3 linked regions of the Ovis aries genome follow. The protein of the gene in region 2 purifies or fractionates together with the protein of the main gene of each other region. This does not show direct contact. Links are inferred from orthologs where the notes say so. Each region holds a gene or a part of one and is shown on either strand. Other genes may lie near its edges.

Region 1 (3,500 bases), on a different chromosome or scaffold from region 2:
ATTTCTCATGATGCAGATAATCATACTGATATGATGGAAGTGGATGGGGATGTTGAAATCCCTCCTAATAAAGCAGTTGTGTTACGGGGCCACGAATCTGAAGTTTTCATCTGTGCCTGGAACCCCGTTAGCGATCTCTTGGCATCAGGGTATGTTTCTCAAAGTAAAATTAAAATGGATTTCTAAAAGTATCTTACTGAAATATTGCGTGTTCTACAAATATATTGCTTACACTTTCCGGTTTTTGTTGTTGCTTGTTTGTGGTCATTTTGCCCTGTAAATCTTTATTTCTTCATGTAGTAATGTTAGAGTTTTTAAATTACTCCCTCAGGAGTGATTTCGGCATCCCCAAAATGGAGACTGAGAAAAATACTGGAAATGGAAACGCCTGATAGTCTGATTTGTGTTTGCCTCATTAATAATAGGATGTAAATCTGTTGCCTTGATTTCTGTAATGCTTGAGAATGTCATGAAAATTTAAAATATGTTGTATACCTTATAGGTCTGGAGACTCAACAGCAAGAATATGGAACCTTAGTGAAAACAGCACGAGTGGCTCCACACAGTTAGTTCTTAGACATTGTATACGAGAAGGAGGGCAAGATGTCCCAAGCAACAAGGATGTGACATCACTAGATTGGAATGTGAGTATCGCTGTGCTGTCCATGGTGGATGTAGTTAGTAACACGCTTAACTTCCCTGAGCCTCAAACTAGTGGCAGGGCATGTCTGTTTGTTCAGGTATTTTTGAATTTCACTAGTAAGAACAGTAGACTAGGAGTCCCTAACCCAAAATGTGTTAAAAGCAAAGACAGGGCAAGGTTCATCTTCTAGCCTCTCAGTTTATCTAGATATAGAATCCTTGCATAACTGGTGGTCCATCACTCTGTACTTCATTCTCATCACATATAAAGTAGGAGTGTATTAATGGTCTTACATAAATCAAATAGTAAATGAAAACCAATAATAGACACGTACTAAGTTCTCAGTGGGCTTCCCTGATAGCTCAGTTGGTAAAGCCTGAAATGCAGGAGACCCTAGTTCGATTCCTGCGTCAGGAAGATGCCCTGGAGAAGGGAAAGGCTACCTAATTCCAGTATTAATTAAGTTCTTAACTACTAAGTCCTTTGTTAGGGGTACAAGAGAAATCTATGTAATAGAAACATAGTCTTGTTTCTCTCATTTTGCTGTTAATTGATGAAAACTTCATTGCCAGCTCTTTTTAGGAACCGTTAGTCTAAATTACAAGCTTTACTCTAGCTGTAGGACTCTTGAGAATTCTCTTATTCTATATATGATTCAATATCTTTGATTACTTTTACTTACTAGAAAATTTGATTTCACTATTGATAAAGCTTCATCCTTTCAGTTTCAAATATATAATTAACAGCTTTCTTTGCTACCATTCCCACAAGTAATTTGCGGAAAATTAGCATTTTAAAAGTTTCTGTATCTTTTCCTTTATTCCATGTTGTCTTTTTTCTTCCTTGTAACTTTATGTTCATTTTTTTAATACCCTCCCACTCCCCCAACTCTGGTTCTAGTAACTTCTTAGACTGTGTCAGTGTTATAAAGAATTTTAGAGGTCAGCTGTCCTTTCCTTAGCAAGTGGACATCCTTTCCTTCTCTGGCCTCTGTTTTAACAACATTTTGTGGGGCTTTTCAAAGTATCTTCTAAATCTCTTTCCAAGAAATAAGATCTGTCTTTCAAAGTGATTACACTATCTGAAGTTCTTAGTTTCTATGAAATTCTTCCAGAACTCATAGTAAGGCTTATTAGTGTTCTTTTCTGAATTTCCAACAATGTATTTACCCTTTCCCACGTATAAAGTTGAGAATTCTCAACAGTGTTATTTGATTGTAGGGTCAGAACTAAGAATTCCGTTCTTAAAATGGGACCTTACTATATCATAGGCCAAAGGCCTTATACCCTTCTTAGGCTGTTTGGCTCAGAGACCATGTTAATTAAAGTTTACACTGAAAAGGATGGTTAACAAATGATTTGTTGAGTTCGGTGTTTCTGAACTGCAAGTTAAAGCTTTTAAAAGTATAGACTTTTGGAAGATTTATTATTTGCTATGAACTTAAGTCTTCCCCTAGAAAGAGAAAATGTTATTGTTGTTTAATGGCTCATTTCCATGGCTAAAGCAGAAGCCTGTGAGATAGCTGCTCCTAATTATTCTCCTACTTTACTAGTGGTCCATGGTCTAAAACCATTAGTTTAAAGGAAACTTTGCATTGTGCAGTTTGGAAATGAACTTGTGCTATTAGCTTCAACATTGCTCCTTGTTCCTTAGAACTATAGGGGATTTCCAAATCCTAGCAGAACTGAATCTGCATCGCCTACAACCAGCATTTGTTTGTCACTTAACTGTACAGCTAGATGACTGGAGAGGTCTGAAAAGGTGATCTTCCTTTCACATCTCTTGCCAAAAAAAGCATCAGCAAGGCAGGATTTCATTCTGTCTTTCCTGTAATGTTTACTCATCTCAGCAATAGTCTGTGTAATGTACTCTGAAACTTGGATTTCCACAGAATAAGTTGGATCTTAGCAAGTCCTGCCATTGGACCATTATTCAAGGCAAGGCACCATAGGAAATTTTAAGGTTAGAGAAAACGTTAAGGATTACTCCTCAGAGTAGAGTAGTTCTGGACAGTTGTACTCACTTCATTAGCTATAAAGTCAGCCTACACTCTCTTCTAACTCTTGTTTTTGTGTGTGCATTGCTATTTTTATTGGTACAGGAAAAAATTAACAAAAGAAAGATGTTTAATGTAGTGATATTTAAGAATCTGATCATCTGAAACTATTATTTGGAACACACACAGTTTAGACAGTAAAAGATTTAGAGGGAGGACAATATGAGAACTTCTAACCTTAATGAAACATTTTGGAAGATTTTGATTTTTATTGAATACCTTTATTAAATCATAAGATTAAGATTTTGATGTCCTTTCTAATCCCCCACCTGACCCCCACCTTTAGTCCTAGGCCTTTGTGAGAGTACAGTAAGTAGACCTCAGCCCCTGTAAGAGCGGTGATAATCTTGCTCCCAAGCAGTTACTGCCCTTCCAGGACTGGGGTGTGAGGCCTGCGCCCTGACTGAATGCTGCCAAAATACTAGCTTCACAGCATGAAGGGTGTTCTGGAGGCCTTTTCTCGAACTTTCAAATAGGCAAAGCTGAAGGTCTTGAAGCAGAGAATGTCACAGACCTGCTGTACTTGGGATTAAACATAATATATTCTAATAAAATTTAAATACCCTTTTTGGGTTATATAATTGAAAGAAATGTGTTTCTCCAACAGAGTGAAGGTACACTTCTAGCAACTGGTTCTTATGATGGGTTTGCCAGAATATGGACTAAAGATGGTAAATAAAGCATTTTTTTCCCCACTTGTTTTTACTGTTGATCCAAATTATAAAGCTTAAAGTAATTTTAATGTTTTTCCTTTTGAATTTTAGGTAACCTTGCTAGCACTTTGGGGCAGCATAAAGGCCC
Region 2 (3,500 bases):
TACTTCATGAGCCCTGAGAAATACAAATTCACAGGGTTCAGTCTGTTGCGTGAGGCGTGCTGGTAAAGGGGGGCTGTCTGATACAGCCTAGAGAGAGCCCCAGATGGGCTCGGAGTACCTTTCCCACTGTCCCTCTGGCCTTTGTCCAGCTGTGGGCTGGTGGTTGGGTGTTACCTGTTGAAACAGAGTCACTTCCTAGCCAGATATTTAGAGGACAAGTGTGACTACGTTCATTTCACTTGTCCCCCTTAAATGACTCCAGACAGGTTAGCCATTTTGGAATTCACTCGTACAGTCTCATTTAATTCCAGTAACTCAGATAAAGCATCATCCTACTGGCGAATGAGGAAACTGATTCCTGGAGAGTTCAGTCTGGCAGGTAGACAGGGTCCCCGGGCCAGACCCCTTTGGGGGGCTGAGGAGTGCAACTCCCGGGGGCATCCATGTAGCAGCAGGCCACGTGGGCACCTATGGCCATCAGGCGACCCGATTGCTTCCTGTATAAATGGGACCATAGCTCCCTAATTTTAGCTCATCTCAGCTTCTCTTAAATGTCCCTCTTGGTGAGCTGTATCATCGGGCATGTCAGTTGCAGAACATCTCCTGTCAGAGGGCTCACCATCCACCTTCTCCTGTGCCCCACCTCCAGCATTGCTCTGGAAGCTTCTAACCTTTCTTTGTGTGTCTCCGCTTGTTCCCACAGTCCCCAGGGAAAAGCCTTTCGCTCTAAAGTGGAGTTGATTGCGTACTTCGAAAAGGTAGGCGACACCTCCCTGGACCCTAATGATTTTGACTTCACGGTAACCGGGAGAGGGAGCCCCTCCCGGCGAGAACAGAAACCACCTAAGAAGCCCAAATCTCCCAAAGCTCCAGGAACTGGCAGAGGTCGGGGACGCCCTAAAGGGAGTGGCACCACGAGACCCAAGGCAGCCGCGTCAGAGGGTGTGCAGGTGAAAAGGGTTCTGGAGAAAAGTCCTGGAAAGCTGCTCGTCAAGATGCCTTTCCAAGCTGCGCCGGGCAGCAAGGCAGAAGGGGGTGGGGCCACCACCTCGGCCCAGGTTATGGTCATCAAGCGCCCCGGCCGGAAGCGAAAAGCGGAGGCCGACCCCCAGGCCATTCCCAAGAAACGAGGCCGAAAGCCAGGCAGTGTGGTTGCTGCAGCTGCCGCCGAGGCCAAAAAGAAAGCCGTGAAGGAGTCGTCTATCCGGTCCGTGCAGGAGACCGTGCTCCCCATCAAGAAGCGCAAGACCCGGGAGACGGTGAGCATTGAGGTGAAGGAGGTGGTGAAGCCCCTGCTGGTGTCCACGCTTGGCGAGAAGAGCGGGAAGGGACTGAAGACCTGCAAGAGCCCAGGGCGGAAAAGCAAGGAGAGCAGCCCCAAGGGGCGCAGCGGCAGCGCCTCCTCGCCACCCAAAAAGGAGCACCACCACCACCACCATCACGTGGAGCCCCCAAAGGCCCCCGCGCCTCTGCTCCTGCCCCCGCCCCCACCCCCGCCTGAGCCCCAGAGCTCCGAGGACCCTGCCAGCCCCCCTGAGCCCCAGGACTTGAGCAGCAGCGTCTGCAAAGAGGAGAAGATGCCGAGAGCAGGCTCGCTGGAGAGCGATGGCTGCCCCAAGGAGCCTGCTAAGACTCAGCCCGCGCTCGCCACCGCGGCCCCGGCCACAGAAAAGTACAAACACCGAGGGGAGGGAGAGCGCAAAGACATTGTCTCATCCTCCATGCCAAGGCCAAACAGAGAGGAGCCTGTGGACAGCCGGACGCCCGTGACCGAGAGAGTTAGCTGACTTTACGCAGAGCGGATTGCAAAGCAAACCAACAAGAATAAAGGCAGCTGTTGTCTCTTCTCCTTATGGGTAGGGCTCTGACAAAGCTTCCCGATTAACTGAAATAAAAAATATTTTTTTTTCTTTCAGTAAACTTAGAGTTTCGTGGCTTCAGGGTGGGAGTAGTTGGAGCATTGGGGGTGTTTTTTTCTTATCGACAAGCACAGTCAGGTTGAAGACCTAACCAGGGCCAGAAGTAGCTTTGCACTTTTCTAAACTAGGCTCCTTCAACAAGGCTTGCTGCAGATACTACTGACCAGACAAGCTGTTGCCCAGGCTTCTTAGGGTGTGCCTGCACCTCCCTCCCACCCAGTCCCCCTACGTGGTCACTAGGGACAGAGAGCACTTGAGAAGACACTCCTGGTTTGGGGGCCATCGCTACCCCAGTCTCAGCTCTCCTCTCCCCCCACACCCTGCCCAGCCTTGAGCTCCACCACCCCACCCTCCAGCCCCCCTTATGCCCACCCACGTCGGGACCAGGAGGTCCAGGGCAAAAGAGACAGTTGGATCCTTTCGAGACGGTGGAGACGGCCAGTGGCTCCAGCCCGTGTGATCCCACCCATGGGGGTACACAGACGGCTCCCCACCAGCCCCAATCCCAAATCGACCAGGACATTTCACAGGATGGGGACATAGCACCTGTCGGCCCCGGTTCTGGCCCAGCTAGGAGGGAGGCATCCTTTGAGCCCCCCTGGGTGTCGACTGGCCTGCGCCAGAGGCGACATTGGCCCAGGGCTGGCCTCCAGCGGGTAGCGCTAGACAGAGGCCACCAAGGCCACGTGCCGAGGCCCCAGCAGGCTGGCCCAGGCTACAGCTGGCGGAGTGCCACAGGCCAGGTAGAAGGCATCCCTAGCTGCTCAGAGCAGTTGTGGCCGCTAGTTCGAGCCTTAGTAGACAGGGCCAGGGGCCAGGGGGAAGGCAGGGGAAATGTTCTTCCAAAACTTTTCCAATTCTCAACTCCTTTAGGGACAGCTTAGAACTATTTGCACTATTGAGTCTTCATGTTCCCACTTCAAAACAAACCTGCTTTGCGAGCAAGCTAGCGGGCTTGACTTGGTGACCCTTTGTCCCTCAGGCCACTAGACGTGACAGTGTTGACAACTACCTGGATCTGTATATACCTGCGCTTGTTTTCAAGTGGGCTCAGCACATAGGGTTCCCACGAAGCTCCGAAACTCTAAGTGTTTGCTGCAATTTATAAGGACTTCCTGATTGGTTTCTCTCCTCTCCTTTGGTTTCTGTCTCCTTTCATTTCAGCCTTTTTATTTCTCCCCTTCCTCCCTCGTCCTCACTGCTCCCTTCTGTTCCAGGCAGCCTCAGTGCCCAACCGTACTTTGAGCCGACGCTGGTCAGCTCAGGCCCCCAGAACTACCCCCACCCTTGGCCTTCCCGCCGTCCACCCCAGCCTCCCCTGCCACCCATTTCTGAGCCCTGAGGAAGCCCCAGACTCCGCTGAATCCACCCAGCCCTAGTACCCCAGCCTCTCTGAGGGGCATGGGAGAGGCAGGATCTTGCTCTCCCAGGAGTCCCCTCCTTCAGTCAGACCCTGGATCCCAGGTCTCCTCAGCCTTCCCACTCAACGGCAGTGGGTAGGAGAAGTGGACCCAGATTGGGATTGCAGAGCCAAGGGCAGCACAGAGACCCACTGTGGCCTGCCAGCATCACGGAGTGGCC
Region 3 (3,500 bases), on a different chromosome or scaffold from region 2:
TATTTGCATTACTGTTTGCATGTGTTTCCACATTATGTGTTAGTTTGTACTTTTACCCTTTTAGGCCTGAAATAACTTTCCTCCAATTGTCACTTGTTGTAGTAGAAAGAGCACTGAACTGTGGGAGTCAAGACACCTGGACTCTGGTTCTACCACTCACTGCTTGGTTATATAGCCTTGGGCAAGTCAGTTAACTTCACATCTGCACTGTTCCTCTGCACAGTGGGGTTGATATTGGTCCTGTCCATCTTTTATGGAGTTGTTAGGCAGATTCGAGATTATGTATGTGAAATTACTGGGGAAAAGACCAGAGTACATTTTCGTGGGCTTTTAGGACGGACAGACCAATCCTTGAATACTGCCTCTGCCATTTACTGGCAGTTACCTCTTTGAGCCTGTTTCCCCACTTATAAAACAGGACCAAAAAAAAAAACAGGACCAAATCCTACCTCAGAAAGTTGTGTGAGCATAGATGACACCAAGTATTTAAAGCACTTAGCATGGTGACCAGCATGTTGTTAAGCATCAATGGAGGATAGTATAGCCCTCTGTTCTTTGCTTGCTTGTTGACCCGCTGGAGTAAGATCCAGGAACAAACCCAGGCTGGAATAAGAGGCCAAATTTTTCTCCCTCAGGAGTGAAACAACATTTTCTGAGTACTTACTTGCTGAATGCTTCCCCATGTATGGTTTCTATTAATCTTCTCAAGAATTAGGTGAGGTGGATATCATTGTTGCTTGTTAAAGATAATGAGCCAAAGCTCAAGGAAATTAAATGACTAGACCCAGTCCCACAGTCAGTAAGCAGGAGGGCCTGGGCAAGAACCTTCTGAATCCAAATGCTGTGTTTTTTCCATCAGCTCATAAATAATGTAAACAAAACCAAAAGGAAATTGTGGAAACTAACCTTTTCGTGTTTTTTCAAGTCAACGTCGGTGAGGACTGTCCGGTATTTGATGGCCTGTTTGAGTTCTGTCAGCTGTCTACTGGTGGCTCTGTGGGTAAGGAATATACCCTTCATAAGGGCTATTCTGGGCTGTACCAATGAGGTCTGTCTTTTAGGCCACTGTCCTAGTGAGGCTGACCTGTGACCATGTAAAATGGTCCTGGGTGGGTTTTTATGTTAGGTCCTTAAAATGTTATTCTGCTTCAGTCTGAGGCCAGGTTCAATCTGACATAGTATAGATATGTGTCCTAGCCTGTCCTTTCCTACTAAGACATCCTGTATACAGGAACTCCCTGCAGACCTCATGGGGTTGTTGAGATGCTGAACATAAAAGTAATTTGTGAACTGCAAAGTGCTGTAAAAATAGGAAGTGTCATCATCTGTGTCTTACAAAAGAGCATGGTAATTACATTTAGAGGTCAGAAACACTTCCCGCGTATCTCCCACTTCCATTAATATCTATGTTATCTCTGGGATCACTCTACCATTTCTTAACAAATATTTATTTTTCTGTGATCATTGTTTTTTCTCCTTGCCTCTCCCTACCACCTCACAATATAATCTCAGAAAACAAAGAAGTATACAGAGGAAAAAAACTGACTGCAATCACACTGTCATGGATAACCGTCATCACCATTTTGGTGTTTGTACATCCATGCTTTTTTCTTTGTGCACGTATCCAGACAAAACGTATACTCATCTATATTTTACAAAAATGTGTATGTATAGTTTTGTGCCTCCCTACTACATTTTTTACTTAGTAAATCTTTTTTTTTTTTTTTTTCCGGTCATGCCATGTGGCTTGCAGTATCTTAGTTCCTGAACTAGGGATTAAACCTGGGCCCGTGGCAGTGAAAGTGTGGAGTCTAACCACTGAGCTGCCAGGGAAGTCCCTACTTAGTAAATCTTTGAAATTTAGCTGTAATAAGGTTTAGCATGGTATCTAGTGGCTACATGATTATTCTATGTTATGGACCAACCTCAGTTGATATAATTAGTCCACTCAAGTTGCTCTGTGTTGGTGTTTTTTTGGTTTTTGTTTTTTCTACACCATGCAGCTTGAAGGATCTATCTTAGTTCCCTGGCCAGGGACTGAACTTGAGCCCTTGGCAGTGGAAGCATGGAGTCCTAACCACTGCACTGCCAGGGGATCCCTCATGTTCTTATCGCTCTTAAAGTCATACTGCCGCAAAGGCATTTGCACACATGGTGTGTATTTTTCTCGCACTTCTTCTTGGGCCTATTTGTACTTCAAGCCTCTGTCTGCTACATTTGGTATCTTCAAAATATTTTGACCATGAACCACAGTAAGAAATACATTTACACTTAAAATCCTGGTTATGGACACACTCGCACACACACATCCTCTCTTGCTCTGCAGCTAGTTTCACAAAAGAGTGGTTACCTTTACTGTTAACTCTGCTATTTTTATTCTATAGTCTATCTCATTAAAAAAAAAAAAAAAAATATATATATATATATATATATATACACACTAACCATAGCCCACTAAACCAATTTTAAGGCCTATTAGTGAGTTTTACCACTTTCAGTTTGGAAAACAGGTTTTCTAGAGTAGCCAATGTTGTGTTTATTCCCATTGGAGTAGACAGAGGGAGAGGGCTAGCTGGTGAATTGTACAGTTCACCTGTTAAATAGGCAGGTCCTATCTCTCACTGGGTTCCCATGGTTTTTTGGGGAAAGGAGAGAGAGGGACTTTGTGACAGGCTTGTGTTCTTTCTTCCGGTGCCCAGCAAGTGCCGTGAAACTTAATAAGCAGCAGACGGACATCGCTGTGAATTGGGCTGGGGGCCTACACCATGCAAAGAAGTCCGAGGCATCTGGCTTCTGTTACGTCAATGATATCGTCTTGGCCATCCTGGAACTGCTAAAGTATGCCTGCCTGGCCTTGTCTCGGAGGAGCACCTTAGGCCAGGTCCCCACTCCCTCTCCCCCGGGCTTGCCTCCCTAGTTTGCCTTTCCTAGCGGCGTGCCGGCTAGGATGTGTTTGGTGAGTGTCTCTGGCCATCCTCTCCTTGACGAGGCCTTGATTGGATCTGAGCCCACGGCAAGATCAGGGGCAGGTGCTGCTCAGATCCTGCCTCCAGAATGTCCCTGTGTGGCTGGAGTTGACCCTGGCTGTAGAGTAGGAAGATCGGACTTGGTCGGCTTGGTCAGGCCTCTGGAGACACCCTGCCGCTCTTCCACCTTCCTTCAGCCAGTTTCCACGTCTCTGGTGCTTAGAGATACCTGAGGGAGGCAGCCAGCCCGGTAAGCTGGGCCCTGGCGCCCTTGGCGCGTCCCATTCCCAAAGAGCCCCCAGAACCCCCTGACCCCCTTCTGATCCTAGGTATCACCAGAGGGTGCTGTATATTGACATTGATATTCACCACGGCGATGGCGTGGAAGAGGCCTTCTATACCACAGACCGAGTCATGACTGTGTCCTTTCATAAATATGGAGAGTACTTCCCAGGAACTGGGGACCTACGGGTGAGAACTCCCTTCAGGGGCCAGCCAGCTCACCCTCAGCTGCCAGCTCTAACTCTCCTGTCT

The links.
Region 1: the proteins of MECP2 (region 2) and TBL1XR1 purify together in Homo sapiens (co-immunoprecipitation; 3 studies listed by BioGRID and IntAct, with this or other methods). This does not show direct contact. The link is inferred for Ovis aries from reciprocal best matches to the Homo sapiens genes MECP2 and TBL1XR1.
Region 3: the proteins of MECP2 (region 2) and HDAC1 purify together in Homo sapiens (affinity purification with western blotting; 4 studies listed by BioGRID, with this or other methods). This does not show direct contact. The link is inferred for Ovis aries from reciprocal best matches to the Homo sapiens genes MECP2 and HDAC1.

The regions. Positions count from the first base shown.
Region 1 is NC_056054.1:210,745,044-210,748,543, forward strand, and holds part of TBL1XR1 (F-box-like/WD repeat-containing protein TBL1XR1), read left to right. Parts: intron 1-16; coding exon 17-149; intron 150-502; coding exon 503-644; intron 645-3,306; coding exon 3,307-3,370; intron 3,371-3,463; coding exon 3,464-3,500. UniProt on the Homo sapiens protein: F-box-like protein involved in the recruitment of the ubiquitin/19S proteasome complex to nuclear receptor-regulated transcription units. Plays an essential role in transcription activation mediated by nuclear receptors.
Region 2 is NC_056080.1:80,267,497-80,270,996, forward strand, and holds part of MECP2 (methyl-CpG-binding protein 2), read left to right. Parts: intron 1-703; coding exon 704-1,787; 3' UTR 1,788-3,500. UniProt on the Homo sapiens protein: Chromosomal protein that binds to methylated DNA. It can bind specifically to a single methyl-CpG pair. It is not influenced by sequences flanking the methyl-CpGs.
Region 3 is NC_056055.1:235,235,998-235,239,497, reverse strand, and holds part of HDAC1 (histone deacetylase 1), read left to right. Parts: intron 1-925; coding exon 926-1,000; intron 1,001-2,699; coding exon 2,700-2,838; intron 2,839-3,295; coding exon 3,296-3,437; intron 3,438-3,500. UniProt on the Homo sapiens protein: Histone deacetylase that catalyzes the deacetylation of lysine residues on the N-terminal part of the core histones (H2A, H2B, H3 and H4).